Linked DNA regions of Lepisosteus oculatus. The protein of the gene in region 3 interacts with the protein of the main gene of each other region in a pairwise test. Links are inferred from orthologs where the notes say so. Each region holds a gene or a part of one and is shown on either strand. Other genes may lie near its edges.

Region 1 (11,155 bases), on a different chromosome or scaffold from region 3:
AGTCCAAGGCAGCAATTATGTACTTACTACGGCATCAGGTGCATCTATCTCATTATGATTCCCAGCTTCTCCACTGCTGGATCCATTTTCCTTGTCTTTACCTTTCCGATTCTTCTCCTTCTTCTCCTTTTTAGCGGATCCACTCTCATTCTCTGCATTTCAGAGGAAAAGTTATTACAATGAACACATCCAAACATACCATTAACAAATTATATCACTAAAATTAAGGCTACAGATTTTCAGATATTGATAAACTACAACTAAGAAATGGGTTTAAATCTGGCTGGTATCACAACCAGGAGTGTAAAAAGCATGCTGTTAATTTTTTTGCAAAAAGCTGCAGGAATCTGGGAAGCAACTATCTAGCCATGCTGACAAAGACAAGGTCAATGTTTCGGTCAAGAAACAGCAGGAAGATTCTGAGATCAATTATTAATAACCAAACATTCTAGATGCGCTGCATGACCTCCTTATTTGTAACCTCGCATGTTCTTAAAACATGGTAAATTCATACATCTATTGGTGGCCTGAACACCAAATGCAATCAAGAGCTAATGTAAATGTGTTTAAGCTACAAAAACCATTAAGTGGGTTGTCACTCACCTGGTGGGTTTTTAAGAATGAACGTGCAGAGTTTGTGTCGTGTGTCAAGCATGCCCCGGTAGCCACAGGCTTTGCAAGAGTTGCCAATGGTTTGTTTCTTAGGATTGACATGCTACCAAGGTAAAGAAGAAATCCCAAATTAAAAACATTCACAGAGGAATAATATACACATACAAGACAGCTAGTTACACATGTACCTTTGTTTAAGTCACAAAGCAGACAGTCATTTTGGTTTTAAACAAGTCATGCATTAGGTATTCAGCTTCCACAAAACACTTAAGCTAGGCCAACTGCTCCAAAGCACCAGTAAAGCATAACAAAAGACCAACCCTGACAGTTTTAAAATGCTTATGAAATATCAGGGGTAACATAGGAACTGAACTGAAGTAGCAAACTTAACTGCATTGTGCTCTACATCTTCCACAAAGGAGGTAAACAGAACTGCCCTAGATAGTCTAAGTCTGGGGAGCTCAACATAACTGCAATGCAGTAGGGTTATGCAAAAAAAAAAAAAAAAAGAGGCTAACTCTGCAGTGGAAAACGGATACTGCAGGTCTCAAATTCAGACACCAGGAGAGTGCTTCCATTACTACCAAATCTGCCCAGCCTAAACCCTGTATATTAAAGGCTACAGGTTTTGTGTGTATAGGAGGAAAGACAACAAAAGGACAGCGGCCTTGAATTCTGAAGAACTTTTAAACACTTCAATACAATTAGGAAACTGCAGTGGAGTTTACCCCTCTCCATAAGACAGTCAGTGGATTATAAGCAAAACCCCATTATTAGTTACAAGTCAAGGCAAATTTGGGCTTTGGCAACAGAAGGTCTTTCAAGATTTCACAAAAAAAAAAGAGGAAAAATGCACTTACCAGGTCAGTTTCCGGATTGTCACACTCTGGACACAGCACAAATTTTCGGATGAATCCATCCAGCATATCTTGCAGCTTATTCGCCTCATGAGATCCATTGACAATGTAGCGGTCATTCTTAGCATCAAACTGGGTCTGTGCTCCCAGCTCACAACCAAAAAACTTGGTGGGATCTAAAATGGAGTAAAACGTACAACTGAAGCAAGTGGAATGTAATGAAAGCAACCCAGCACTACCCCCCCTACCCCAAATGCTGCTTCTTTCCAATAGGAATCAACTTTAAATACTGTTTAACAGGCATTCAGATTACCATTACTAAGTTAACAAAAGTCAGTCAAAAATGCCCCTGCAAGGATACAAGGCTAGAACTTACACGTTGGAGGCCGATTAAGTGCCTTTGCAACGTCAACCATGTTGACTATAACCGTCTTAATTCCATTCCCTTTGCCTTCCACCTGTTTAGAGAAGGGAGACATTAAAAAAAGATTATTGACTGCAATTCACAAAAATAATCAATTCACACTTCTAAGACAGCTGTAAAATGTCAGTAGGATATAAAGTGCCTAAATGACAATCTACATTTTTAAAGTTGCTAGGATGGGAAACTGCTAGTTCCAAATCCCAACCACCTTAAAAATGCTAAAACTAAACTCAGCGGACACAGATGGTATGCAATAAAGTTCCCCCATCCAAAAGGATTATTTAACCAACTAAGTCACATGAGCAGGAAAGGCAGTTACTTAGCATTCCTCTATACAGTTGGTTAATTTAAGGAGCTATGAATCTGGCTTTAGTTCTGAAAGCCAGGAGTCTTCTACTGAGAACAAAACAACACTGCAGTCCTGAGTCATTCACAACACTAGAAGAAGCTGCCAAGCTCTCCCTCAGTCAAATGAGCCCACTGTGCCCCTCCTCACCTTGGCAATCAGACGGGGCATCTTGTAGCGATAGAACTGGTCTGAAACGCTGCGGTTGACGTTGACAGACATTTTGGCTCGCTATTAGCTTTATCAACAAGATAAGAAGATCTTGGATTGCAATTTTTTGGTATCTTCTGTCTGGAGAAGAGTGGATGACATAAACGACTGTAAGTGTACTCGGTCTCTGACATGAAAAAGTTTTCGCCACTGAGGCTGCAAGCTCCTTGCTTGTAGGCTAAGTTTCCCCCACACAGGTTCCAACAGCTGCGCAACAGCTCTGAAAAACAGAATAAAGACTCATTAGGGACAGCCCCACTCAAAAATAGGCTTAAACAGAAACACTGACTATACTATTTAAGAAAATGGCTTAAACAGAAACACTGACTGTACAACAAAAAAAAAAAACAATTTAATTCTGGGGTACAGCAACTTTAGCATGTAAATACATTTTGGTTGCAAGTCAGAACACCAGCAATGCACGACATGCACACGATATGAAAACTAAAACAAGCAAACCGAACTACATTGCCTCCCACGTGCTGCTAAATCCACTATCTCTGAAGGACACTGGCCAAGACATTTTAAAGATTAAAATGTCGGGGAGTTCACACCTCCCCAAACTTTAAAACGCCCCCCCCCTGCACCGCACGTCTCAACGCGTGCTCACCCAGTTTTGTCTTGTGTATCTTCCTGAAGTGTTTTTCCTACTGCATTTTAATTCCGTATCGATTTTGTGACTGCTTTGCAAGCCCCTCTGGGTAGGAGCTGCTGCTACTAAGCAAATAACAGGTGACGCTGTGAATCCATCTAACGTTTATCATGAATGTCTTTTTCGCCACAGAGGTCACAAACGTACTAGATTATATCAGCGTAAAACTGTAGAGCAAAACGGAAAACGTAACACGTCGATCTATACATTGATTTCATTATTTTAATACCGCAGCTCAAAGCAAGCGGAACGCCTTCAAATACAACGAATGAAAAATACTCCTGGGAGTGTAATGGTTTTGCGCAGCGAATACAATTTGTATTACTTTCTGAAAAGTAGGTCAAACCTTATCGTCCTTGAAGCGGTGGTATTTCCAAATGATGACTCATCATTGCAACCCAAAAGTTAAAAAGGGCGAAGCGAAACAGACAGCGACACAAACGGACAGAGAGGGGGGGCACGGTGACTTTTGAAACCGCACATCGCTTTATATCCGCGTCTCCAAGTTAAACGGCACAAAAAACGATTGGTAGCAGCGGTACAGGCTGCCGTTAATTAAAGAAGAAGAGGTTAGTCACAACAGGCCACCTAATTGTGCGAAATGGTGCAGAGTGCGTCACACTAATTTTATCACGGGGAGCACGGTGCAAGGGGGAGACGCCATTTTGATCCACATTTTGAACACACGCACGCCACATTTTCCAGCGCAACCACACCAAATACCGACCACGGGACGAAACCAGACGCACAACAACACACAGAAGGGTTAAAATAAACATGGAAAACGATACCTTTCCCATCCGTCGCTCCTGTCGTCCGGGTACTCACCGTTTTCGTAAAATAAAGACATAAACACACCGCTGGTCGCCCTGAGACGCAGTGAAGTGTTCGTGCTGGGAGCTGGGGGGGGTCGGCTGAGTACTGGAGAAAGCGAGGACGGCACGACGACGGTGCCGGTAATGGAGAGGCAAGAGTTTTCCGGTGCAGAGTAATAAAACCCTTCGGGGAAACACGAGACGCCCTCAAAAATGGGGTATCTGGAAACAATGGGCAGGGTGAGGGGGTTAGGAAAACAGATCGGCGTTAATTGTAGAGCGGATTCGATTACTTGCGTAACCACACGTTTCGATAGGCTACAAAAGACAAGCCTTCAAGCTTAAACAACGCTCCCTCATGAGGCGTAAATGGCAATTCGGCGATCCCCATAGAAGGTCTTATTACCCCCTTAATTTATTATTTGGCCTTATTCACACCAATTAGAGCGTCCTCTAACCCCTTCGCTCACTTACCTCTCTAGAACGTTCTCGCTCGAGCTGCGCGTCGCCAGAATGATATTCGGCCAGTAATGACGCTGTCAATCCAGCCATCGCGTCGACGCAACCCCGCCTCTCCTCGCCGGCGATTGGCCCGTCGGGGAAGAGCGGCGATATTATTGGTGGCGGTACCTGTCCATATCTTTCGCAACAGGGTTGGGGGGGGGGGTTCTCACGGCGCTCGTGAATCTTAACAGTCTCGCGATATTGTTTACGCCGCCGGTGGGATTTGGGCTGGTTTCCTGTTTTCTCGCGTTAATCTTCTAATTGTTTTTTTGGGGGGCCTTTTGTCACAATATGAGTATTACGATCACCACGCTAAATCCGCTTTTTTTTTCTCTAAATGTGGTATTTTTGTATGTAGTATCGCATGTCTTATTATACATGTTTTGCTTAGATGTGCGTAGCGGTTGTCATGTAGAGCAGTCACGAGACGAACTGGCAAACATTATTTTGTTAACTCGAGAAAACCAAAGGTCTGGGCAGCTGTCTTAATTCACGCATTAATACATTCATACGCTCAACAAATTCTGTACCGCTGAAGCTTTTTCAAAAAAACAAATACAAAACGATGGGTCAATTAAAACATGGATGACCCCAGCAGACGAGCTTGATGCCCTTCAGCAGTACCGTACTGATCTTTATGGAGGCTTGTTCCCAGTTGCGTTTAAAACCTAATCCAATTACAAGGGGCTGTGTATCGTTCATCTTGGGGAAAAAAAACAAAACCCCCTAGTTTACAAACTTAACGTATAGTTAGTTCTGAAATACATTTAACCCCCGGTTTAACGGACTTAATGTCAGACGACATTCTCTCAAGGGGAACTGGCTACAAAATCAGAAACACTGGACTCCCCCCACATTAACGATGAAATACACACCTCTTAAAGCAAAATGAAAACTACTACATAGGTTTAAAATTCAGGAATATCAATACTTTCATATAACGGTAGGTTAAGTGCTGCCTATGGGTGCTGTTTCTGTTTCGTACTCTTCAGCGGATTTTCTACAGTATATTTGCGATACATGAAATAAAGAGCTTGCTTATGATGAAAAAGGCACATGAATAATTTTCATTGACTGACTTGAAGTCGAAAGATCCAGAAAGAATACATATATATATATTATTCATGTAGTAGAGTGGTTGGGTTCATAAACGTCCTTCGTGATTTAACGGACGTTTCGACAATGACGGACACCCCTCCCGCATATTAGTCTTGAAAGAATCAGGGTATCGGCTTCATAGACATGGGTGGGTAGCTTGTTCCACACTCCTGCGACTCTGTGGGTAAAGAAGTGGCTCCCTGTTCTCAGTTTTTAATGCACTTCCAAGTCGTTTCCACTTCTGCCCTCCACTTCTGTTTCTCTGTTCGTTGTGAAAGTTTCGCTCATCAGTCCGGCGTGGGTGGCTGGAGGCTTGGGTGTGTGTGGGGCGTATCCTTGCCGACTGCATCTCATTGATTTGCATCTCATTGTGCTGTTTCACTGTCGCACAAGCCCCACAGGTGGCAGTCGCCGGGATACAGGTCCGAGAGCGGGCGGCTCTCCGGTGGCGCTGCGTTTTCAGTATAGACACCTGGGGCTTCCTACAACGGTCTGACGAGAAGACAGCCATGAAGAGCACACGAGTCTAGTCTCCCGTCTGATCAAGAGATGGTGCGTTTTGTGTTGTATGCGTGCGTTCACTTGTGTTGCTCTGTAAGGAAGAACCAAGAATGTTTCGTATTTCTAAAGGCGAAAAACACTTTTTCGCATTTAGTGAAACGCACCCCCTCTCCGGAGGGGAAGTGGCAATCCATATGCCACGTAAAGCATTCTTCAACTTAAAGGTCGAACAGCAGGCATGACACCATTTCCATACTTCCTGTCACAGTCCTCAACTGACATTACAGCCAGAACAACATCAGCTTGACTTTTGGAAGTAATTGCATAAACACCATACCCTCACACACTGGCCTTCATAACACATCTTTGCACTTGAAAGGCTCCAGCCAGCGTGACAGCACATCACTCCTTCCTGTCACAGGTTTCAACAGACTTCAAAGAACAAAATCAATACAAGATGCGACTTTTGTCACTAGACGTTAATTCGGTTAAGACTTTGTCCGCAGATCTGTGGGGAACAGTCAGCGGGGAGAGCGGGAGTATCACCCGCTGACACAGGTTTCTGTCATGAAATTGCCTTTGTCATGAAAAGCCAGGGAGAGTTTTGCTCAGCCTTATTTTATAGGCTTATATTCTTATTTAAAGGATGTGAGAGGACCCAGGCTGGTCATTGCCTCCTTCCAACACAAGATGGCAGTGTGTCGTGCTCAGCGCAGAACCTGTTGTCTTGGAAACAGGGCACTTGGTCATCTTTCCTGATTTCCAGGAGAAGTGACACAAGCAGGCCTGAACTGACAGACGTTATATTCCTGTATGACCGACTAATTAGGGAAACTCTCCTTTTTCTAGAAGAGGGGTAAATAGATCTTTGGGTGATTAAGGGAAATAATTGTAATTGCTAGAGAAGAAAGGGAAATTACGTAATAGTAAAAGTGAAGTCCCAGCCTCTTCTTAAAAGCTGTCTTTTCCATAGTCTGTTCATTGTGCCTGTGAATATCTGGTGAATCATTTCTTACTTATTTTGTTTACATTATTGTTCCTCCATTCTGCTGCGTGCTGAAGTAGTATGCTTGTATTTGTTTTGGGAACGCGTACAAGTTAATTCCACTCTAAAAAGTAAAAATCAGTGAAACACACATCAAGGTGTAGAAAGAAGAGAGGGAATAAGTATAATCCCACAGGGAGGGAAAGGTTTGAATCTCATGTCTAACAGCTGACCTTCTTACAGCTCATCGTTGGACCTTAGTTTTTTAAATGATAGTCCAGCCCTGTGTTAAGAATAATTGCTTAAGGAGAAGCAGGTTTGTGTTTCACAACTGAACGTCTAACAGTTTGGTATTACTCCACATTTGGTCATAATTGAAACTATGGGGAAATGCCCTTCACATGACAACTGGAGGCTCTTTTTTACCCAAAGAGTTGTGGAGGTATGGAACAAGTTCTCCAGCTTGTTGAAGACACTAACCTGGCTTCTTTCCAGAGGCAACTGGAGGCAATCCTTGTATCAATGAGCTGCTAGGTCACCTGAAGGGTCTCCTCTCGTTCGTAACCTTTGTTATGTTTTTAATACGAATGAAGTCGGAGCAGGGAAAAAAGAAACGATAAGAATGTCAGTGAAACGAGGGAGAGTGGGAGATCAATCCCAGTGGGTGGTGTGGTCAAGGCAGCACTTTGGAACTGAAAAGGTTATAATAGGATCTGGCCATCATTGAGATCTGTGGGGGTGGGAGTGACCAAATCTGAGGCCAAGGTGGGCCTCCGATGTCTTTGTCTGACCCCCTGTGGTGGGACACAAACAGATCGGCCAGCATGCGCTGGTCAAATTTTACAAACTAAACTGAAAGAGATTGGACTTGGCGTTGACATTATAGACATGTGGCAAAAATTGGTTAATGGGATTTTTTCATGAGAAATTCACACTGACCTAAAAAAAGCCTGTATTGGGTGATGATGATGTAACATTATACAGAAAGTATGGTGGACAAGGGCAAAGGTAATCAAATGAAATGTTTGTAAAACACATCCTCACGTGTCTGAGATATGAACTCATTTTGATATCAAAACCAGTATCTCATTGCCAAATAAGGTAACTGTGTAAATTAAATTGTAAGCAATTCTAAGGTAATAATTTTGCATGGTATTATCATCTGTATATATATATATAATTATTTCAATAAAGCTTCAATTACCTAACTGCTCTGATGTGCTCACCTCAGACAGCCTGTCTTTTGCCTGTTTCCCTTATGCAAGGAGCAAGGACACATTCAGTGAGAAATGCAATAAAAGTGATTGCTAAATAAACATAATCCTAACATGATCAAAGGGACAGGTGTTTGCTGCTGTTAAATTGCTGTTCAATCCAATACTTGACTAACTGGGTCAGCACTTGTAAAAACTTCAAATATTGGGACTGCCGACAGAATTGAGGTCAGCATGTGGCCTGAAAGCTCTAGGCATGTTATCAGCTGGTGAGACAATAGGGTTCTGGTAACTTTTTTTTGCAATGTTTCAGCAAAATGGAGAGCAATGCAACTCTGAATGGAAATGCAGTGGCTGGATTATTGGTGCAATTGTCTGTTTGCTGACAGTGGCAATGCACAAAGCTCCATGCAGGTGTGATGCCTGCAGCCTGGCGTGATGCTGTTCAGAAAAGCATCTGCTGCAATTCAATGGCATGTGCACAGGGCTCCTGAATGGCAGCCACCAAAGATTCCTTCTTTTGCATTGCGATAGAAAAGATTTCAGAGTTTCCCTAGGCAGTATGCACTCAAGAAATTGTAATTGTGTTTTGATTAGGCAGGAACGCATGAGCATTGATTAGTGCATTTCAAACCACAATAAAAGTAAGATAACTTTTACAGTAACTTGTAAAACCTCCACTTTACATCACAAAATAGATGAACAGGTATATGCAGCTCCATGTTGTGCATTCCAGAATGAGGCAACAAAATGTCTTCTAGACATCAATATATTTATTCTGTTACCGAAATTTAATATTATTATTAAATAATAATAATAAAAGGGAACTGCAGTTCCCTTTTAAATACTGTTTTAAATTAGCTGCATATATGTACTGTAGAGGCAGACTGCAGGTGCACTTTAAAGACAGAATAACTGGGGGATTTGAAGAACTGGTGTTTGTTTCCTAGTCTGCCTCTGCTGAGTGCACAAGGATCAGGTGGTATGTGTCCTGCCCATGCTTCAACTGGGCTTGGTAGGAAGGTCCCTTTTCAGGCCATAAAGCCCCATGGGGGAATGGGGGCCACCATTTCTCTCAACCATCCAACACTGGAGGTGAGGTGGTCAGCCTGTTACCCCCAGAAGGATTAACCCCAGTACTCACTTGGAAAGCAGGCTGAGTGGACCTGGGAGCCATCTGGATGGAATCAGAGCAAGCTCCTACCTGGGCTTGAACCCAGGACTTTCTAGTCAGCAGCTGGACTTCCTTGCCATCTGAGCCACCACAGTTCCGACTTGGCTGGGAGAACACTACAATTAGAGTGGACACTAAAGTGCACCTTGGCGATGTGGCAAGGCCAAACCTCACAGACTCAACCCTAGCCAAATGTCTCAATGTGCGTGTTTCCCATTTCAAGAGCCTTGAGGATTTAAGTGCTAGCCATTATCCTGGCCATTAACAGAAAACAACAGACAGCCTCGTGCTCCTTTTCTCAAGATTAAAAAGATTCAGTCCTAATTAGCCTGTCAAAGTGGAACATTCCTTTAATGCTCTGGTCAATCTTCTCTGTCAGCATGATCCTTTTTTTGTGACGTGGCGACCAAACCTTAACATAATATTTCAAATTAGCTATAGAATTTGTCATTTTAAGATAACATCCCTTTGTTTACATTTATTAACACTGTTTACAAGATGTTGCTTGCGTTCTGATGGTTTCCATACAGCTTATTTTAAACTAGTTATTATTTAGTGACTTCTTATGGTGATTCCCACTTTTCTTTTTGAAACACTTTTTTAGTTTCTAAATGAAACAGTTCCAGATTTTAAAAAAATTGCATTCCTTTGATACCTTTTTTATTGTTATTGTGACACCTCATCCTCTGGGTTGGGGTTTTTGATTGAATAAAGAAATACCAAAACAAAAACATCTGTTGCTTAATTACGGAGTTTCCAGATGGTAAAAAGGAAAGAGTGAGCTCATTACATTTTGTGGCGTTAGGTTAGGAGCAATGCATTTTTTCCTTGAAAGTTTTTTATTGCTCATGTTGGTTGCTAACCTGTATCCTAATCTGCGTCCCATTGCCTCCCTGAGTCTCCCACCCATTCAGGGAATTTCTAGGACTTCACTGCACTAGAAAATTATTGGCTCAGATCTTAGAAAGCTGATCTTGTGGGCTCAGTAAAAAGGGAAAAGCACCTAACTGCACATCTGTTGCAGAATACATTTTTCCTGAGGTGTGTTTCACGGCCTTTACTAAAAGCGAAAGGATAAAATCCCCCATTTTGAAAAAAAAAAATCCTTCCGGCGTTAGAGGATTAAAGAAATTGCTGTGTCATTGTTTGGGAAGAGAGTGTCACTAGCCTGCAGCCTAATTCTCTGCTGCATTATTAAATCTGCTCGAGCGCATTTTGCTGAGACAAATCTCAGCCTCTTTCTGTTTCAAATCATCTCCTTCTAAGATCCTGTAAGGGTTGACTGAGCCCCAGCCAGAGCACAGCATACTAGCAGCATGAAAATTCTGTCCACAGAGCAGGGGCAGAGACGTCCGGTCAGCCTCCGTCCCTCTGCAGAGGACAGCTGGAGCACAGCCAATGGGAAAGCAACTTGAACCACAGACCGTGTGTGTCCAGCAAACCGTTACAGAATATCTCATCAACAGGCTAGTTAGTAAAGCATCTGCCATAGCAAAGAAAAAGAATTCCCATTTAATAACAAAGTAAAACACAGCTGCCAGGAATAATGCATTCTACAAATTATAAAGTACTTACAATTAACAGTTTTAAATGAATCCAATCATTCTAACCTCTGCTGGATTTTTAAAATAGAATTTAAACAAGGTTTGGACTCTTTTCTTTCTAACACTAATACCACAGGCATCTTCAGGTAACTCACCAGTGGGCGAACAATAGTGGAGTTGGTAGAGAGCCTCTGGTGAAGGTGTTCGCCTGCAGTTAGC
Region 2 (10,578 bases), on a different chromosome or scaffold from region 3:
TTTTTATCTTCCGAATGTCACTCATACACATTTCTCCCATCTGAGGCCGGAAAGAAAAAGTATACTTTTGTCTATTCCTGGCTTGATTACTGTATTGACTGCTTTAGTGAGTATTGCATCACTAATCGTGTATCCACTCTCAAATTGCTACAAGCTCAGAACTAGGCTTCTGACACCTTAACCAAATATAAAGTACCAGTGCACGTATCATCCATTCTGGAGTTCCTTGCTATGGTTCACTGTGGATGTCAGAAAAAAATTCCAAATACCACTGTTCATCATAAAGTACTTGAACAACGCTGTTGCTGCAGACTACATCATTGAACTGTTATTTCCCATGTATATTAAATTTGCACTCTTCAGACTATGGTTCTTTTTTTCCCCCACTACCTCAGTACAAGAAAAATAGGAGAATGTGCTTTCTGCTTTGCTGCTGCAAGACTGTGTAAGGATCTCCCAGCCCATAACAGATCTTGCAAAGTCACCACTTTTAAATCCCGTCTTAAAACCTGCTGTTATTGTCTAGCTTTTAATTAATTTAGCGTACAATTATGTGCATAACTGTGTCGTCTGACACTTTTACAGTGCCTTCAGATGATGTACATTAAAAGGCATTATCTAAAACATTTCTCCATGAAAAAATAAATCTGTTTTTTTATAAATCAAAAGTAACCTCAGGGGATGATTGCTTTAACTCATATCAAGCACCATTACTGGCCTATTGGGTTAACATTTTGGAGAGCACTGCTCTGGACTGATTCATTTACTTGCAGTTTTATCACCATCAGCACTATGGGCCTTTACTTATTCACTGATGGGTATAGGCCACCCCAAGATTCATTCACAAAGAACCTGCTATCCTTGACTATTCACCAGAAACCTGATCCTTTAATTAGCTGTTTTATGCTGTCTCCCCCTCGGACGGACGTTTTGTCTTTTTCCTTCTGTCCTCCCACTGTGTGACAGACCAGTTTCACAGTTTACTTCCTAACCATGCCAATTCTTTTTCCTGCTCTGGCCTACTGCTTTCCTTCAGTCACTTCTCGTTACACAGCTAACCTGTTCCAATGCTTCACCTTCACCTTGCCACTCAAAAACCACCATTACTTGCAACTACGTTTTTGCCATTCTGATATACCATACTAACAGCTCCCAAACATGGGTACCTGCAGACACTTAACTGGAATCAATGTTTGTAAATATGGCAGTCAGGATACACATAACACCTCTGAGTTCTCACTTCTGACTTTTGCATGCGCTTCATGGTTTTCTGCTGCATTCTTTAGCTGCTCTTCAAACTGGACTGTATCTCCAGTTGGTAAACATAACTCAGATCCTCTGAAGCCACTGGACTGTAAATTGAGAAACAGGATGCAGTGAAATATTGTTGTCAGGCCTGGTACCTCAGAAAGCAACTCAGGGCAGATATTTAAACCTTTATGCTGTTAAAACTACAACAAACAAACCTACCTGGCATTCGCCTTAACCTCAGAGGTATAGCTGCAGAAGCTATATACTAACTGAGCACTGACATGCACAAAACAGTGATGAAAGCACTCCTGATATTTTCAAATTCCTACATTTTAGGGATGCGTTAGACAAACGGCAAAGCAATATATTCAAACTTGGTACTTGCATTCTATCCCATTACAGGAATTTAAATAACTTATAAATTGTGAACAAACGGATTGATCCCAATCGGTGATTAAGCCATGTGCCAAAGTCCACTTTGATAATTAAGGATCAGCTAGAGCAGTGGTTCTCAAACTTTTTGGATCAAGTACCACCCCTAATCCAACCAAAGCATCCAAGTACCACCTACAAGTCATCTTCTCATAGGAACCCCAGAAATTCTCAATAACCAACATGAGCGCGCGTGCACACACTCACACATACATATAATAAATATTGTAATAATAAACTTAATTTGACATAGCGCCTTTAAAGGTGGCTTCTCAAAGTGTTTTACAGAAAAAAAAACATTAACAACAACTAATAAAAAAGCACCATTTCAGTGAGAGGGGTGAGCCTGTTTAGTTGAGCAAAGAAGATGTGAATTAATTTTTCGAGCCTTGATACAATTCACAACAGAGTCTAACAGATATTAAATCGTCAGGCGGCAAAGGTGTCGCGGTGGATGTTGTAATGCGTACATTAATTTCTGGAGCAACCTATCTAATTCGTGCAACTACACCGTTATGTCTGCTTGTCATTGCTCTAGCAACGTCTGTACAAACTCAGACGCATTTTATCCAGTCAAGGCCATTCTTTTCGATAAATTAATTCAGAAGCTGAAATATGTGCTCTCCTGTAGTTCCTGTTGGTAGCGGTTTACAGAACAGAAAGTCTTCATGGGACATGCCCTCAAACTCGTATCTAACATAAACGAGCAAATTGGCCAAATCGACTAGACTCATCTAATTGCAGTGAAAAACATCTGCTCATCTTAACGTGCTCTATCAGTGTACTTTTGATATAATCCTTCATTTCAATAATTCTATGAATGACTGTGTCTTTCAGGGGGAGGGGGGCAGCAGGTCGCTGTTTAGCAGCTTTTTCTCTACACATAATACGTGTCAGCTCTTTTGCCAACGGTAAATAAGGTTCTTCAAAAATAGTGTAGCTTACCTGCTTTAGCAATCCGCAAGCTTGCATTTTTCCACGTTTCCGTTTTTATTTCCGTATTTATTTAAAGTTTTTATTTCATGTGCATGGGAGCGTAACACAGAGACGTTCGGTGTATTTTTCTCAAATTAGAACAGTTCTTAAATATTTTTCTGTTATCACGCTTTTGTGTGCTCACAAGATTACCTGCGTTCGTAGCACGTATTTCTATGCATTCCTGTGTTTACAACGTTAGCATTGTTCCAAAATCACACACATTCTCCTTCCTCCCTATTTGCTGGAGATACAGTAGCTTTTTTTAAATACAATTGGTCACTTGCATCCGTAGCACGCATTCCTATAGAGTGGTATAGAATTACAGAGTATCTCTTCTGTCCACTGAAGTATTAGCGCGCACTGTATCGTAGTACGTAGGCTGCGTATTCGACACGTATTAAAAATATGAAAACCCGTCCCGATTTTTCAGCGCACACGACACAGTTCCAGGGTCATTTGGCGTACCACTTGGCGGGTCTCCGCGTACCACTGCCGGTAAGCGTACCACAGTTTGAGAACCACTGAGCTAGAGCAAAGATTTCCAACAGAATGGAACGTGATAAGATTGACCAGCCCCAACGATATGTCAAGGAAACCTCGCAAAATAGATGAGCCTTCTTTTAGTTAAAGACAAAGGCAATAGAAAACACAATACACAAAACAGAGCCGAGACCAACACTGCAGCACCCTAACACAGCACCTAGTCCGATACAGACGGTTGCGCAAATACGATACTATGCAAGACTGGTTCTTAACTGCCGCATGAAAACTGTTTCAATGATAAACCTCTGCCTTACTACTGAGCTGTACAGTACGTTGAGCTAACACGGCAACATCTACCTTTATGCTATTAAAAATAAAGGGTAAAAATTCTATTTAAAAAAAAATCTTCAAAATCGGTAACAACCATTTTACCTGCAGATTAAATGAGACGTCATTTAGAAATTGCATACATCAATATTAAGGGCTGTAGAGAATTAAATACATTTTAAACTCCCGGGACATGGTCTCTGTATAGTTAATGTTAAGGAAGTCAATAGTTAATGTTGCTGAAACGAAGGTATAACAACCAGATTAACAAACTTTATTTATCACTACTAACTGATTAGATATTGAAAACAGGCTCGCCTGTTAAATTAGTTCAAGTTTACTGTCACTATACTCATATACAGGTATATGGTATAACGAAATGCTATTTAGCTAGCTCTCAGACGATGAGTAGTACAGGAAAACAACAATGCAACTGTATAATAAAAGAAAGACAGAGACAACAGGCAGTGCGCAAAACAACAAAAGGTAACAGGTAATGTGCAAAACAACATCAGATGTGCAAAAACATGCATCAACAGAATGAAATAAAGGATAGAGAATTATGGAGAGTAAGCTTTTTGACATGTGAGGTAGAGGTAGATTTCAGTGTGTGTTTGAGTTTTGGGTAAGAAAGGAGGCACTGTGAGGTTCAGACGAGAGAGGCTGGGGGTTTAATAGTGTGATGATGGTGCGGGGGTGAGGGCGGCGCCCACGCGCTCTTAAATTAAGTTACTAAAATAAGTTAACAAAACAAGAAAGCAACGGATACGCGCGAGTTTACAGTTGCTAACCCTAAATGGGACTACAAATGGTAAAAGCATGTACACCACAGAGGAAGAATACCGTGAGATCAAAATCTGTGAGACTGGATTTCAGTTCAAGATCGTTGGAAAGCAAAGACCGCCTTTAAATTGAAAAGTAAATGTCAACCAGTCGCAACACGACACCACACAGTAAACACAGCTGCGCGAAATCAAATATTCGCTATATTTAATCTTCTTTAACAAATTAACCACTACAATAATAATACTATCAACTATGAATCATTGTGCATCACGGATCCTAAAAGGCGTAGTAACCATGAGCTCATCTGCCGAGATGGAAGACTCGCTCGCTTTTTCATGCCACCTCGCAATAGCTGCCTACACTAAAGTTGTTCGGACTCTTGTTTATTTACATAATAGCTCTTCGTACAACCAAGTATATTCGTCTGATACCATTTCAACCCCTTGGATGCAATGCTCGATATATAATACAAGTGCATTGTTACAATGTAATCACCGATGGTGTCTTGGACAAGACTTTGCCTGTGTCAAAGCACAATAAAACTGTGCAAAACTACGATACCTCTTACACAACCCACGGGCCTAGTTCCCACAGACGCTGGACACACACACACCGATCCGAACCGGTGCACTTTCCCGAAGGACATAAGCTATTTCATATGGCTTAAGAGCTCGGCGCTTATTGGTCTGAATTTAGATCCCCGCAATTTTAACATTCAAGTAAAAGAACCTACCCGTTTTCCTCTGCAGAAAAAAGACGCTGTACAAACCGTACTATTCATGTCAACGCGGTTATCTTTGAACTCAAACTCTCGTTTTTCCCAAGGTGGCCCAGCAGTACAACTATCGCGAGACAAGGGTTTGTGTACTTGTAACCATGGTGACCCGAGCACTGTCGCTCCCGTTCTGCCGAAAATGTTCTGTATATTTGAATAATATACATCGATAAAAAAAAACATTCGTACTGAGACGAGAACAGCTGGTAGTCAATTTGTTCTTTTTGAGTTCTTAACCTTCGTAACCTGAGAGAACATATGTGAGAACGAGTGAACATTACTAATGTTCGCGGGATAAATTACATTTAAGCACTTCCAGGCTTACTTATCGATAATAGTAATCAATTATAACAAACGATATCTTAGAGGACTATAAACTAAGATATCAAAATGTTCTACACTGATTATACACAATGCTGATTCTAGAACAAGCTTTTTAAACTTCTGTTTTTAGTAGGCTATATAAAAAGACAGGGGTAGATATCACACTCTATTGTATAATTATATACCATGTTTACAGTCCAACTATAGTCTTATAGTCTGAAGTCTTATCGGCCCTCTGTTTTAATTTGGTTGGGTTGCTAGGGGGTAGTGAGGAACATCAGTTCTCCTATCAGTATCTTTGGCACCAGGATAAAGACTGAAATGAAGAAGGGATGAGGTTTGAGGTAATAAGAACATAGTGCCTTTTGCTGTGGATACGAGGAGTTAACGTGAAGGTCCCCAGTATTCAGAAAATGTCTTCATCCCTGTGGAGGTAATTAACTATGCAGCTACACTACCAACCCCTCCAGCAGGTGGCCTCACAATATCTCTGTTGTAGTGCTGAGGGTTGTAAAAGACGACCTTAGTGACTCCATTACATGCAACTAAATGGGGTCAAAAACTATTCTTGAGCTGTTTCACAAAACAAATACAGTCTGGGGAAATATGCTTCCTTTTTTAAATGTCGCACCAATCAGCTATTTTTATGTTTTTTACAGACCATCAATAAAAAACAAAATGTCTCAAAAGGTTTCTCTGTATGACATTACACCCATGTAGGTCTCAAGATATTAGGACAGCCCTCTTAAATGAAAAGGGGAGTGAAGTTTGAGGTTATGAGTGTTTATTTGAGGGTCTACTCTCTGATCTGGAGAAGGGTATACCATGAACAAGCGGATAAGATGCCGAAAACTGGAGACCAGGAACTGTAAAATGCACAATGCCAGCTTTCATGGCATTTATTATTGCTTTCCCATTGTGGTGCATTCTGATTTGATTTGATCAGTTAATTGAATGATTGATAAACAGGTCACTGCAGTGATGTGTTTTCACTATACTTTTACTTACCTTTTTAAATCATTTTGGCTTCTTGGTTTTTGCTCCTAGCTGGATTCATATTCAAATCCTCCATATCTTATTACTTTCAGTACCCATTATATATTATTTTCTGGTGGTTTTAAGTTATGTAGAGATGTAGTCTTGACATTTATTAAAAATAACTAAAATTAGTTAAATCATTTAATTAATTTGAAAGCCATTGAGACTTTCAAGTACTGCTATGGTGATCCTTTTTATGTGGGCAGGGGAACAGAACAATTAAAATGGTTACTGGGAATAAAGACTCTACTAGAAGGTACTTGGCATGCGTTTGCTTTATATTAAAAGCATGGAATGGAAATTGAATAGAGACTGTCAGGTCCCAAAGCAGTCATAATGTTGGCAGAACTAAGAGCCAAGTCTCCATCAGCCAAGTGGCAGAAATGCCTATATATTACTCAGATGCCAGGGAGTTTATTACAAGGCTTATTGTAGTTCAGCTTGATTTGTCATTAGTACAAGAAATAATAATCCCACAATTCCCTGTAGGACAGCAACAGGATTGGTTGATCAGAGCAACACCAAAGGGAGAGGGACTAGAAGGGAGAAGACAGATGGTGCTCACCATAACCATCCTGTAAATACACAGGAGGTCATTAGCTTGGATTTGACTACAGAGCCCACTAAGGGAGCCATCTGATGATCTCCTTGTAATATCTTAAGCTAAAGCAAATAGGGAGGTGGAAAAGACACAGATGCACACAGGAACCCCGCACAGAGCATAAACAGGGAAAAAAATAGGCAGATAAACCAACTCATGAATGTGAAGATCCATATGTTTGAGAATAAATATATTTTTTTCCTCTGTGAAATAAAGTGCATTACATATTTTCTTGTTCTTTTTACATTCTTCTTAAACCTGTTTTAATCCATCATTATAACTAGGCCCAGGTTTGGTTTTGGAAGGGTTAAATATCACACTTCATCATCATTCCTAATGGTCTCACTATTCTAGAACTGCATCTAGAACATAAAGGCTACCAATGAGAGGAAGCCAGTCCACCCATTTGCTCATTTGATTCTTAGTAGTTTGATCCATCTATCTATTGTCAGTCAGCTTTTTTAAAATTGAGAAACCTGTTCATGAGCTTATCTCAAAAGGCCTCCTTCTATGACTTGACAGCTCCTATCATCATCAATTACTCCCTTCATGCTACAGATCTTTCCGACAGACTAAAGCATTCAACCTGGCAAAATTATTCAGCCAAAGGTGCCCCAGTTCCAGGTACAGTTGCGAATAACCTTGCATTTAAGAACATGATGTTCTATGAAAATAATCCATGTTAAACACACATTTTCAATAACAATCTGCTGCTCTGCTTGAGGTAAGGAAGGCCTTCTTTTTATTCCCCTCCAGCTATCACCATCTTTCTCCATGTGAGAGATAAAGTCACGCAGTGGAATTACAGAATTGGTAATTCCAAACCCGCCAAACCTCCAATACTCTGAACTGATGTTGGGCACATATAGGCACAAATAAGTCAGGTCTTTCCCCTCTGAGACACAGAGACACTCTTGTGCACAGGGACAAACTCAGCACCCAGTCATGGGTATGTGACTGACAACCCCTCACACCTTCGCAGGCCCACTCCAGAGCAGCAAACAGACCACCCTCAATTAAGAAGGTGAGACAAGTATCTCCTTGGCACCTTCCCAACTCCTCCACCAAGTCTGATTCCTTCCTCACCACAGGAGTGACACCCCAGGTTCCAATAGTCAGTTGCATTTACCAGTGCCCATTCTGTTGGGATTCTTCACCCTCACTCTTTGCTTTGTGGATGTTGGGCCTAAATGTTGTCTCTGTTTTGTGCTGTACCCTGAAATGCTGCATGTGCATGCAATGTGGCCTGGTCATCAGGCGCTCGTAGGTAACGAGCACAGGGGTGGGTCCTGACATCTACGATGCAGGTGAGGATCTTTATTAGATCAGCTGTTTATTTGAATGGTGAAGGTCTCAGATGTTTTTGCTAAGTGATAAGCTTCAAGGATCACTAGCCATAACCAGGGGGTTCACACAAGCCACTCCACCATTTCAAGGTAACAGTCCATGGGGGGTTGTGGTCTAATGTTTAAAGAATGTTGTCTATTCCTTTCTTAAAGGATCCCAGGAATCAGCTTCCATCACATCACTTGGGAGAGCGCTGTTTACATCAGCAAGCTGCTAAAAGGAAAACAGCCAGTGACTCAGCCGGGAAAGATCCCTTCCAGCATATGATGAACCATCATAATCATGTGACCTTCAAACAACATTGCTAACTCTATTAATCATTTTGGAAATTCCAGAACAAAGAAGCGGACGGGAAAGATTGCTGATGACCCCTTCCTAAGCAGGTTTCATTAACCTGTTCCATAAACTTCCTCAGGGAGACGCTATTAAAATCTGAACAACCCGGTATTTGAACAGTTTCTTTCCTGGGGCTGTTTTTTTATTTAGCCAGGATTCCTAATGAAATGTGCACTGTCTTAATAAAGCCTATTGTCTTGTGTCTGTGTTGTAATGTTGTGTAGAACAGGACCCTATGCAGACGGTATAATCTGGAAGTGAGTGGAGTAGAACAACGGGGAAGAGACGAGGATCAGGAGGGGTTGACAAACAGCGGGGCATGACGACAGTGAACTGGTGCTCGGGGGGCGTGGCCATGGCAAACAAGTCCAAGGGAGTCCGGGGGGGAATCTGGGGTGAAGTCCAAAAGTCCTAAACCGGGTAATCCAAACAAGACGAAGACAAGACACAGTTAAAAACCGGAAGGGACGGGGAATAAAAGCAGGATCACTTGGCCATGCGCTCTGAACCCCGGCCTATGCCCTCAAGCTGCGGACATAGGGCGACTTGGTGGTAGGCGGGCCTCTGGGCGCCCGTCTTCCAATGCAGAGCCGGGAGTAGCAAGAACGCCCGCCTTAAATAAGGTGGGGCAGGATTGAGGGCAGGTGCACGGAATCAGCCAAAATGTGGAAAGAGCCTGAGCACCCTTAAGAGGAGGGATTACGATCATGATATGTGTGCTATATGTAGAATGTTTTTGCTGCATCAAGTCCACCAGAGTAAATTCCTTGTACCTGAAAAGAACTTGACAAATGAAGGCGTTTCTGATTCTGATCGGTTCTGCAGCTGGATGTCTGAGCCATCACACCACACAGATCAGGTTACCCAAGCATCTCACCCTTCTACCACCTTTTATCTACACGAGAGGTACTGTAGATGTACAGTACTGGCTTCCTTTAGTTAAGTACAGTGGATGACTTTTCTTATTTGTTGAGCAACGGTGGAGCGATTTATTATTCATCATTACTGTACTAAAAAAGTAACCACAATTTTGTCAGACAGCCTCCTTTCTGGAGTGAAGACTTAGGATGGGGGGGGGGGATTTTTTCAATATTGTACTGTTTAAAAATATCAGCCCATAAGCTATTCTGAAACCCCAGACACTGAAAATATACTGCACTTTTTTTTTTCAAAAACCATAGCTCATGTGGTTCATTGTGGTCTGAATAACAGTTTGCATAAACAAGGTAAGGCTTTCAGCTGCGTGACAGATTTTACAAAGATACCAATATGTGAAACTTGCTTTAGCATAAACCTCAAGCACAGGTGTTAGGTTTCTGTAAACATGGGAAGAAAAGCTAAAAAAAAATATGTAAACAAAACAAAATCTCTTAAGATGCACTGGAAGTCCATTTAAAAAAAACACAACAGCCATCATTACTTACATTCCTGTAGGTGAGTGAAAGCTACTTCAGAATTTTAATCATCTAAGAAAATCAGATATAAGGTCAGTTGTGAAAATTAACCCTGCTCCAATTATCGTTTCATTGGTAAAACAGCTTAAGACACAGAATAAATTAGTGTAGAACGGGGAACCACAGAAATGTGGAACATAAAATCAATTAAAAAATGAAATAGGTAATAGGAAACATAGTGAAGCACAAAAGCAACTGAATGCTGAGCTACAAGAACAGTGAATACCTTTTTTGAGTAGGTATTCAGACTAGCTTTTTAATGCTGTTGGGTATGGAAAGCAAGCTGGTGTTTCTCTGGGTATAGATCTGGGATGACTGCTAAGGTTTAGTTAGCTATGCCAATTGATCTGCTTTTCGAATAATATCAGAGAAACCCTACAGTAACCTGTGTCCCATCCGATAAGCAGCGAATCATCAATGATCAAGAGCAAGAGAAAAAAAAAGAC
Region 3 (11,539 bases):
GTTGTGCATGATTTATGATTAACTTCCTTTGCCAATAAACCAAGAAATAATGACTCATGAAATAAAGGCTCGTCTTTCCTGTAGAGCTACACACTTCCCTTGCTTTTGAAAGTCACCAACAGGAAACTTTGGCGGGGTTCCTCATCAATTATATTGCATAAGAACAACTTTCTGTGTGCTTTCAGGAAGAGTATGAAGTTCAAACAACCACACAGGAAAGAGAAGCAATAAACAGTATAAACTTTGTAAATCTTATTTTTCTAATTTAATTTCAAAAACCTCTTGAGCTCAATGTACTTCCTAGCTGTAAATGCTTCGATACTGAAATCAAAGGACTCCTTTATTGCAAAGAAAATCCCATGGCTCCAATTCGGTTTTACATTTGTCTATATCTTACTATACCTGGAAATACAATGCATTTTATGAAGTAATGGTATTGAAAGATTCATGTTGTTGTTTTTCTTAGACGAGAACATGAAAACAAGATTTTGTTCTACAAAGAAACTGAAGTTAATGGGTATGACACCAACATGAAATAGAGTTTACACTGAAAACTATATAATATGTAATGCAAGGCTTACCTTGTAAGAAAAATGTAAAAAAATCAATTAACTATATGAACACAGAAGTTGTGTGTTGGTTCCACTGTGGTAAACTTTTCACATAAAGAAGTGTGTGTGTTTAAACCCAGCATTCATATGCGTTCTGTTTGGGAAAATCCCATACATCTCTACACTCTTTCTTGAAGACTTTTCTTTCTATTTCATGAAAACCATAAGGTGATTACCATGACACACTGTCCTTTAGAATCCAAAGAATGATTATGAACTTTTCTGAAGAACAAACAGAAACAAATGTGTTGTGAAGGCATTCAATCTTTGTGATAAAAGCTGTTTATTTGTCACCTAGACGAATAAAAAGGTGTCACACACCTCACACACAATTTTTTGTTCATTAATCAATCTCTTATTGTCTTTTATTACAAATGAACAAAAGCATGAATGGTTTTATAAAAAATTATGAATATGACTGCATTTTCCAGACATTCACTCTCATCGGATAATTATTTGCATTAGAATCAGAATTAACACAGATATTTAAGGTTCAACACTGATGCTTGTTCCTTTTCTTTATGAAAGGAGAAGCCCCATTTCGTGCCTGCACATACACAAAAACCTTGGCAAGTCCAGTTTTGGAGATCTGTAATCAGTACTACAGTGAAAGATGACAGGCTTTATAGAGAATGACAAAAGAAATGAAATTGAAATAAACCTTGGAGCCTTGTGCCCCCTGGACAACAACATTTTTTTACTGCAGCAGGTTTTCTTATTCTTCCACTGATGAAAGATTTTCTTTTCTGTCTGCCTTTACAAAATGTTAAGGTAAAAATAAAGACGTAACAACTGAGGCATGAACATTTTTCATCTTTTGTTTTCATGATTGATGACCCATAAGATTGATGATACTTAAAATTGTTGTTTAGGGTCTCATCACAGCCACAATCCAGCAGGATGCACTTATCATTTTGGCCTGTTTAGGACTTGATAAAGCATGATGTGCCTAACTAATGAATGCTTGACAGATGGAGAAAATGCTTTCTTAGCAGAGCCAAAATCATTCTGTCTTAGATTAGACAAAAAGGCTGTGTTCCCTTTGATTTGCCTCGGCATTATAAACAAACGTTACCACTGCAACTAATTGGTATGTTGGGGTTGGACATTAAGAATAAACAATGAAGATAATATTATTATAGCGTTTGCCATATCAGTATGTGTTTTATCAGTAGTTTCACACAACTGTTTTCTTTCTGTTATGAATTGTGCAAGTTATTCAAAATATAGTTACAATTTACTGTTTTAAAGAATTGTTGTAGAAATATGCTGGTTTTAAGTCCTAGTCAATAATTAGAAGGCAGTAATAAAATATCATGGAAGATGAAATTTTATTCAGATTCAATTTATATAGATAACAATGGCATCCAAGTCTGCTGTTGGTAATTTTCCACAGCGGGTGACAAGTCCAAGTGTTTTATAAGATCCTTTTTTTTTTTGCTGAAGCTAACATGGAAAATTGAAATACTAAGTTCCTATATTTCCCAACAGATTGTCTCCTCCTAGCATTTTCTCTTCAAATTTCAAACTACTTCAGCAGGAAAAAATGGTAAAATTAATAATAATAATTGCTTACATTTATATAGCGCTTTTCTGGACACTCCACTCAAAGCGCTTTACAGGCAATGGGGGCTCCCCTCCACCACCACCAATGTGCAGCATCCACCTGGAATGAACCTGCAATGAAAAAATGATTTATATAAAAGACTGTTACATTTGAACTCCATGTGTTATAGGAAATCAAGTTCTATTATAAATGCAAAGTAATAAAGTCAGTGTGTTAATAACTAAGAAGAGATGTAACAGAAAAAAAAGTGCAACAGAATATCTCAAAACCGTGTCCAAAGGGAGGTTTTGGGATGAAATAATTAAATGTTTTTTAAGCACCAAAAAACAGAAGAGATCTATGCAATTACACCTCCTGAAGAACAGCACATATTACTCCATGAAGAATCCAAGACAGGTTTACTTGTGAAAATCCTATAAAGTGCAAGCTCTGCTACTGTTTGTGCCCATCGACAGGTGGTTCAGGTTTGTAGTGTGGGATGAGGGATTAGTACAGAGGTCATTGTTTGGCTGGATAGTGTTGTGAATACAAAAGGGTTACCACAGGAGGTCTGGATCGTTGACTATGCTGTGGGGGGAGGGTCTTTGAGATTTTAGGTGATGACGGAAAGCAGGAGGGTGTGGTGAACCCGGTATATTGAATTATCTAGGCCAATTGTTACAGTCAAATAGTGATATTATTGTCATTTTTTCTCACCATCACTTTATTGTCCTGAGGTTTTCAAAACAAGGAGTGAGGTGCTGATATTGAGTCATTAACTTTCCATAAAATACCCCTTTGTCTGATTCATGGCTGCTAGGCTGTATAGCACCAGGTCAGAAAAAAACCCCAAGACATTGCATTAAGTGACAGAAATATATTAAAGATTTTTTTTATTTCTTCATATAAAAGGTAAAATCTACATGCACCTCCAGTACAGTACTTGTATTGCAAAATGCACACAAGAACAGGACAATAAGGTTTATTCTCTTGAAATCACAGCGCAAACACCTATTTATATTATTTTCTTTAAATTATTTTTTCAAGTGTATTTTTTCATCAATTTTATTTTTAGGCATATTGCTTTCTAAAACTAATGCTAAGAGCTGGTAGGTTTGTCTGAGCTTACAGAAGTCTTGTGGAATATACTGTTTAATCTTCCAAACCAAAAGGAAGACTTTTGTATTATTTTATTCAAATTTCTACAATAGGTCGCAATACCTATATATATTTCAGTACAGGTTTGATATGAAAGGTTTCCTTTCCAGAAGCACCTAATTTAGTGAATCTACTTATCAGTATTTGCACGCAGATACAACAGATTAACCGTAAAGAGTACAGATAATACATAATTCGTCTAAACGACAACTACATAACAGAACCTTACGCTAACTTACACAGACAAAAAAAGCCGATTAGAGTAAAATATAACAAGGGTTATGTCCCAAACCATGTGCCTCCATTAGAGAGATAAAAGAAGAGATTGATAAATTGCCATTTAGTCCTTTTCTTTGACTTTCATGAATTTACATTATCTAATGGGGGCAGAAATGAAAAGCCCTGATTAGTGTGGAATGAGTTGGAAAAAAAGCTATTTGTCTTTGTTAGCATCCTCCTGTGTTCTTTTATGACCCGTTTTTACAAGGGTGGGAGCCGAAATGCCTTTCCCATTAGATTGAAGAGCAAGGAGGCTGAGTGGTCATCCCGAACACTAAACGGAGTGTCTCCAGAAACAGAGTTCAAGATTGTGAATGCTGGTGACTCCTGTGTAACCTTCTGAGGTACTGAGAGCTCACCCTTAAATGACCCCTAACTCTGAGGAAAGATCTGGGTGCTTCCAAGGGGTCTCCAGACCAACAATGAGAACTTCAGTGTTTAAATAAATTGACCAGTTCTCCCTCAAACCCTTCATCTTTAAACACGAATAGCGACTGTATTACAAAAATACGGTTACAATGTTGGTAAACATATTCCATTCTTTGTTTGCAATTTTGTTACAAGATCCTAATTGTAAACAAACTACTTTTACTGATATTTTGGGAATATCTCAAATAATATTACTTTGTTGTTAAAGTCAATGTGGTATCTTAATTAGCAAAGGACAGAAACATTAGAAACACATAAATGACTTTTTTTAATTTTTACCTAAAAGTTGCGTTGTTAAATGATTTTTTTTTTCATTGCATGGTAATTAAAACTGTAAAATGTTGGACGTGCGAATAAAGCCTTACTTTACTGCTACTATAATGGAATATGACCGTAGGATTTTAAAAGCGTCAAATTAGACTTTTTAATTAAGCGCTTTTCACGAATACTTGGCAGCCTGATTGCCAAGATTCCTGAATTTCAAAGTAGCTGTTACTAAAACACAGCCTTTTCAAAGCAGCATTACCCTATACACGTTCATTTCGTCAATTTCAAACAATATTATTTCCTCGATAAAATGACGGGGGGCTGAGTTTAAGTGTGTTGATACTGTAACAAGTATGAGCTTAATTATGTTTTACTGTAATATCAGTAAACAAGAACTAAAACTCTGGGTGTTTTTGATGATAATGAAATGTTTAGACAACAAAATCCAACAATGTTATTTATTTTAAACGTAAAACATAACACCGTTAGATATAAAAACGCGTTTTGTGGTTTAAAGGAGGAGAGAGCGCGCTTGGGTTAGCCGACGTTCACCACTCGGGATGGAAAATTTTCCGTCTTTCTTTTCACGAAATGTCCTTTCCCAGAAAATCTGAAAATGTCCAAAATAAATACAAGAGCTGTCCGGGGATGCGACCGCTCTTCAACCGGGCGGTTACACGGAAACCCTGATCTGATGATAACAGCGAGTGATGCGGTCGTTGGGATTATCCCAGTTTTCGCCACCCCCTTAGCGGGGCCCCTCTGTGTGCCAGTCCTGCTGCAGCAGCAGTGAGAGTTCAGTCGGGTTGGGGAGAGGAATTCAGAGGGAGATGCTGCTGTCTGTGACGGGCGCAGCTACAACAACCCTAAGGAAACCACCCCGCAAATAAACTCATCTCGCAATGGATAATAATGACGCTTTTCTGCACCTCAGTAAGTGGCCTTTCCGCCTCGAACATTTCACCGTCGTCGGTTCCTTGTGCAGTGTTATTTAGTTTTCCCGTCCGTGTGCCATGCTTGCGATGTACTGCACGGCGTGCTTCCCCTGCCTTTTCCAATTGCAGGGTCTGGCAAACTGAATTCCATCAGCGGACTTTAGACGGGATATAAATCCAATGGCCGTGTTATCTGTTTAGCTAGCACTTGTCTTGCAGTAATGTTTATTGACAAGAAGGCTGTGCCAGTGTAGAAAGTCAGGTGATAGCAATTCTCCCTCTCTCAGACAGGGTCAGGGGTTAGCAGTTTAATTACTCTTATGTAATATATGGCCTTTCTAGCGCGTCTCCTACTAAACTGTTTGCAGCTGAATGGCTATTTATTAGTCTGCAATGGTACGGAAGACGTCAAGTACTTGTAAGAGGAGCTGGGACTTTTTGCCACTTTGCAGAAAAGTTCAACTGGCCAACCTAACTAAATGGGACTTGATGTACAGTGCTGGACAGTTTTTAGAAAAGACGTCTTAATGGGCACAGTACAACTGCCTTAAATACATTAGTTTTTTTTTTTTTCAAAGTACAGATATAACGCATATTTGTTAAGGAGTCCACATGCGTGTGTAGCTTAATACCAGATTTCTTGGGACAGATCTATGTAGTCGCACGTCTGAATGTTTTGCAATTTTGATGCTATAATTTGCCCGTTACAGACATTGATACACAACACCGTGCTAAGGCTTGATATTAAACAAATAGACAGGGAATGGAACATTATTTTTCAACACGATGGCTTGAACCTGAGAAAAAGCGGACAAACCTGAATATTTCGTTTCTTGTTCCATCTATGGAAAAGATGTAAGGACACAGCGCCTGCATGTGGTTTTTCCATAGGTTTTTGCGCTGTTTCCGTGAATTGCAGTCAACGAAAGTTGATTTTTATGAAAGATCTTAAGTGAATACAGAAACAAAATCTGTATGGCTTTTTCTATATACGTCTGAATTCAGTACTGAGTACTGAGTGACTGCTGCCTAAGAATTGTTAGGGAGGTCATCCACGATATAACCTATATAACCTGAAGGTGCCAAATAAATGTGTGGAAAGATAAAGATGTTTCTCGTTATTTGGCAGCTGTGGTTAAGATAGATTTATGGCTAAAGTCTTGTCATGTTGATTTATCTTTAAAAATAGTTTATTTGTCAACAACTGCTTTTAATACAGTTAAAGCAAGGATTTGTGAAGCTCTGTTTTAAAATACTAATTTAAAGATTTTAAAAAGTGATAGTAAAATTGGGAAACATAACTGTATAGCTGAATACTGTTTCAATGTCACCTTAAATTTGTCCTTTAATACACATTTTGTTCTGGGTAAAGGCTTCAGCAAAATTAATATTTAGGCCTACAGTTGTTGCTGCTGCATAGTGTTGTGTAGGGCAGAGAAAACTGTTGTGTGGAATGTATTTGTGTTAACCTGAGATTTGTTTGATACTGTGGACTTTGACATCCAGTGTCAATAATTTCCTTGTTTGAAGATCTGAGAGCTCTTGCTGCTCCACAGTATGACAGAGTACAGTGGATTTGTTGTTTTAAACCTTGGTCTCTGATTATACTCACTGATATGATCTAAAGTTGTTGCTTCTGATTGGATAGCCGTGTTACTCTAGTGTTCTCTAAAGCATCAAGTAACGCTTTTCAGGCAAGAAATTGCGTGTTTATAACATCTGTGAAAGTTAGGAGTCATAACAATATTAATATTAGTGTTGTATTTTTTGAGCTGTAGATGTCAAAGACTATTTTGTGGAATTTCACATTTAACATTCACGGGAATGACTGGATATGTGGCTGTGTCCTACAAACCAGGATAAGTGGACTGACGATGGATGGTGGATATCTTGGACAACTTTGGGAATATTTTAAATATTACTATAATGTGCTATCTTCAGTATTGAATCACTAAAAAAATATTGCTTTACACTATTACAACAGTGCATGATTGCAAGCTGACTAGTTTCAGAGTGTGTTGCATTCTGTTGGTTAAACATGCAGTGTCATCTGTCCTTGGGAGAAATTGCTTAATGTGAAAGTTACATACAGACGCACTTAAACTAAATCAGCCTTCCCAGTGACCACTGGTATGAGATCAGTAAATATTTTACTGTCTGGTAAGCATGTCAGAGGTCATAATGAATTATAATAGCATCTTGAAAAATAAATTGTCTACTAAATAAATTAAAAACTGTTATACCGCATTTGCTGAGATAATTATACAAAATGATGTTATAAGATGTTATACAAAATGTGAGTGAATCCTTCTATGTGTTAAATGTACCTCTAAAATTACACAGCTTAAATGAAATGCAGAAAGTCACCAAATTCATTGCACTCCAGGAAATTACTTTAAAATTTATTTTAATTTATTTTCTAACATTATTGCTGTGGAAGAGAGTGTATTTATTTCATCAAATACTCCATAAGAAATTGGAACGAGGATTGTTTATTGCTCTCAGCTAAGCTATGTTTTATCTTTTGCATTACGGAATCTACACAGGGACAGCATTTGTGGATTTTCATGAACTAGGTTGCAAGAAAACAGGATCTAAGGATCCTTCTGTGTTGCTGACCACTGAGATTAAAAAAAAAAGGGTTGTAGTTCATTTTCACAGCATCCATTAACAACTCGTCTTGTAATATACTTCTTCCTCTCCCCTCAATTCTTTGTAAATGGGATACTTTTGATTTCTATTATAAGGTTTCAAAATGTCTCCGTAACATGGTTGTTCTGTCTTGCAGTCCGTAATGTTCTCTAATGTCACAGTCTGCCTCAAGGCTTGCTGATACCAATGAATTAATTGAATTATATTCAATTCATTATGTACCGAGTACGATAATCTTCTGGTTCACTGTGTTTTGTTTCATGTCCAAAGGTGTAATACTGCTTATTAAGACCTTTTTCTAGTTTCAGAAACATGGAAGGAAATTGGGATTGTGTTTTAAAATAAAAGTTTAGTAGTAAAGCTTGTATGTGACTGATCATATATAGGTCATAGCCTGAAAAAATAAGAAGTTCTGATTCTGAAACCTACAGTCTTATAAACCAAACAGTTTGGTTATAATGAAGTCAAGCTCTTTTCAGAGGATAGTCAGTTCACTGGTATTATCTAATAGTATCAAAACTAACAAACCCTGTATGTGATTTAAGGCCAGCTGGTCAGACACATTTATGTTATGTTCCTTGTTATTGTGCAAGCTTAATTACTGTTGTGTAGATATAAAATACTGTATGGTGATGAAGTAATGCTATAAAAAGTGCAAAATGAAAATGTAGTTATTTTTCATGATGTGGAAATTGAAATGTAATTGGTCTGGATAGTATGTACTTTTGTTTATCCTCCTTATATTAAACTTGATACAGTATCCTTTATTCCATGAAGAAAAAAATACTGTAAATCTAAAATTTAAAATCAAATTGCTTGATTGGAATTTTTGTTTTCACATGCCTCAATTTGTGTTTGGGTTACCACATTTGCTGATATTTTTCTGGAAATTAATATTTGTGTTTCTTGCATCTGGATTAAATTCAAGATTTGACCATATTCAGAATGTGTCTCTCGATGGCCACCTATTGTTTGCTAGATACCCAAAGAAAAGCCCCTATCAAGTATTACTTTTTCAATTTGTAATTGGCAGTAGGTTGGATGTTCTGATTGAATTTGAGCCCTAGTTGAATTTCTATTACTTTAATCTTCTAGTGGGTCTCTGAAAGCCGAAATGATTCACAGCCTTCTTGCTACTTTGAGATGTAATCTTGAAATGCTTTCAAAGACAAACGCTATTGTCTTTGAAACATGAACCCATGTACCGCTAACATTTATTTAATTATGTGCTTTAATAGGAGGTACAAAGCCCATGTTGTCTCTTTACGTATGCAAATGCCATTTTTATCAGCAGATGTTGTAAAGGGACTCTAGGAGAGGGATTGATTTGGTGGCTCACCTGTAATGCACTTTGAAAGCATAATGTGATCTGTTTTGTTCCCAGCCTGGCTATTGTGAGTTATGATTTCAATGGATTTAAAGTGACTCAGATTCATAGAGAAAAGCAAATGTTTTACTTACTAAAAATCAAGCAAGCCTGAGGAAGATTAAATCTAGAAAGCAATATTAAGATTTAATATTACTCTAAATTGATGTGACCAATTGGGTGCTCTTAATGTAAAGTCTTTTTTATCTCTACACATTATGTTTATCTTTATGATCTTGAGGCATCAACTTAATTCATAAATGTGATTTTTGAATTAACATGGTAATACAGGATGTCAACACGGCACACAATATACTTTACTGTATATACATTTAGCAGCCATTATTTGCATTACAGCAAAAGCAGTACCATAACCTGGAAGTGGTTAAGTGGTTTCTGCTTAAATTGCTTTGTATAAATCTGTTTGGAAGGAGGTTTGTATTGGTTAAACATCTATTTTTTTTTGGCAGTGGACACTTACTGATATTTTATCGCTTTAAAACGTAACTCCCAAAACTGGAGAACTCTTACAGTTAGGTATACTGGGGCCTTTTTAGCTACTGCAGTTGAATTTGTCTGTTATTTTTAATTTGTGTTATTTCTCTCAGTGCAGAAGAAGATAGAAATGGAAATAAAGAATCTATTAGATAACATTCAGCATGCACTGATATGCAGCGCAACTGTGACAATTACCAAATGTGCAACGACTCTGTCTTCTAATGAGCATGTTATGTGCCCTAGTTACAGCATTCGTAGTTACAGAGCTACTGGGGACATTCAGAAAGAAGCAACACTTTCAGTTGCTTACTTCTGATTATGACTTAAGAAAAAAGAACTTACTGTATACCTTGAAAACAAAGAAGACCATGAATTTTAATGTTACTCCATAAGCAAATTAAATGTTAGCTACAGAGGTTATTTGCTCACATTTTTAATATCATTAGACACCCAGGTTTTACTGTGGCAGCCAAATGTCAGCCAAATCAGATAATACTCCTGCGTTCTGCAACTCTTAAATCGTTGGAAGAACTGTAGGCTGATTTAGCTCCTGAAAAACATGCTGCTAAAACAACAGGTGTTCCTGAGCAGATAGTTGTACTGACGCTGTGAGCCTGATGAAAAATAATCTGATCTGCAGCAATAAACGGTTCTTCTTGGACTGATCTGAAGATAATCTTTCTAATCCAGCACCGGGCACAGTCTTTTGTTTTTTGCATCTTCGCTCCTGTTTAGCCACTTGTCGTGTCGGGTTTCACAGCTCTGTTGTCTGCTGTATGTGCTGGAAATGATTTAGTTTATCTCACTATGTGGCACCCACTACATTCAACTCCTTTTGAAAATGTTACTGGATCTTCTGGCTACCCGCACTGTAAGTATCCTAGATTCAGAGAATGGCATGTTTTTTTTTTATTGAAATTAAAAGGTAATATTCATATTTTCAGTTCCTATGTGTGTTCACTTTTGTGTTCGGATAGGAACTTTTAAGTATCATCTTGTAAATTTTCTGTCTTGTCATAGTGTCGGGCTGACGATAAGCTGTTTTTTTGTAGCAGCTGGCCATGCTTGGTTCATCCTAGAGTGTTCAACCACAGCTCCTGTGAAATTAGTACTTTTCTTTGTTCACTCTAGTTGGGATCAGGCTATTTTTAAAGCTTCGTGTGCTCAAATTACTCATGAATATTTCTTAATTCTTTTCAAACAGGTAGATTAAGTCTGTCTCACAAATACATGTGACATTCAACTGTCAATATATTTTTTGTGATAAAAGAAAAGCCACTTACAGCTGAATCAGTTTTATCATGACATTTGAGATTGAACTAAAATGACCTAATCTATCAGTGTATATTATATTATTTGTGTGGGACATAAATTCGTATTGTGAAGACCTGTAAACTTAAGACAGTTTTTTTTTTTATTTCAAAATGAAAGAAAAACTAGATCTTGTGCATAAGATGACATTTGTAGTCACAGTGAATGATTAGATAAACAGCTGAGTGAGACAGATTGAGAAAAAGAACCATGCCACATTCCTTGCTTGTATTTTCTTAGTTTTATATTAACTGTATTTTAAATTGAGAAAATAAATAAAACCCTTTATCATTAACATTATGTTAAATTCAATTATCACATTTCAAGCCCATGCTTTTTAGTCTAATAAGTCCACGCATATTCAAGATGTCTTTGTTTTAGGAAGCAGAGATAAAATTTAAAGAATTAGGCAGAAAATATTTAACGAACCTGGTAAGTATTTGAATTAATCAAAACATTGTTAGATTGGCATATCTGGAATCTGGCA

What was found.
Region 1: the proteins of dusp12 (region 3) and eif5 interact in binary tests that used the Homo sapiens proteins (3 or more experiments, as listed by UniProt). The two-hybrid records come from large-scale screens. The link is inferred for Lepisosteus oculatus from reciprocal best matches to the Homo sapiens genes DUSP12 and EIF5.
Region 2: the proteins of dusp12 (region 3) and ppp2r3b interact in binary tests that used the Homo sapiens proteins (3 or more experiments, as listed by UniProt). The two-hybrid records come from large-scale screens. The link is inferred for Lepisosteus oculatus from reciprocal best matches to the Homo sapiens genes DUSP12 and PPP2R3B.

The regions. Positions count from the first base shown.
Region 1 is NC_090703.1:6,762,169-6,773,323, reverse strand, and holds the start of eif5 (eukaryotic translation initiation factor 5), read right to left. Parts: upstream 4,492-11,155; 5' UTR 4,391-4,491; intron 4,139-4,390; 5' UTR 3,930-4,138; exon of another isoform or gene 3,893-3,929; intron 3,753-3,892; exon of another isoform or gene 3,448-3,752; intron 2,670-3,447; 5' UTR 2,462-2,669; coding exon 2,390-2,461; intron 1,928-2,389; coding exon 1,846-1,927; intron 1,646-1,845; coding exon 1,473-1,645; intron 716-1,472; coding exon 604-715; intron 153-603; coding exon 28-152; intron 1-27.
Region 2 is NC_090710.1:4,467,519-4,478,096, forward strand, and holds the start of ppp2r3b (serine/threonine-protein phosphatase 2A regulatory subunit B'' subunit beta), read right to left. Parts: upstream 5,083-10,578; 5' UTR 4,991-5,082; intron 1-4,990. UniProt on the Homo sapiens protein: The B regulatory subunit might modulate substrate selectivity and catalytic activity, and might also direct the localization of the catalytic enzyme to a particular subcellular compartment.
Region 3 is NC_090704.1:8,624,918-8,636,456, reverse strand, and holds the start of dusp12 (dual specificity protein phosphatase 12), read right to left. Parts: upstream 5,427-11,539; 5' UTR 5,224-5,426; coding exon of another isoform or gene 5,193-5,223; exon of another isoform or gene 4,897-5,192; intron 2,289-4,896; 5' UTR 2,188-2,288; intron 1-2,187. UniProt on the Homo sapiens protein: Dual specificity phosphatase; can dephosphorylate both phosphotyrosine and phosphoserine or phosphothreonine residues. Can dephosphorylate glucokinase (in vitro).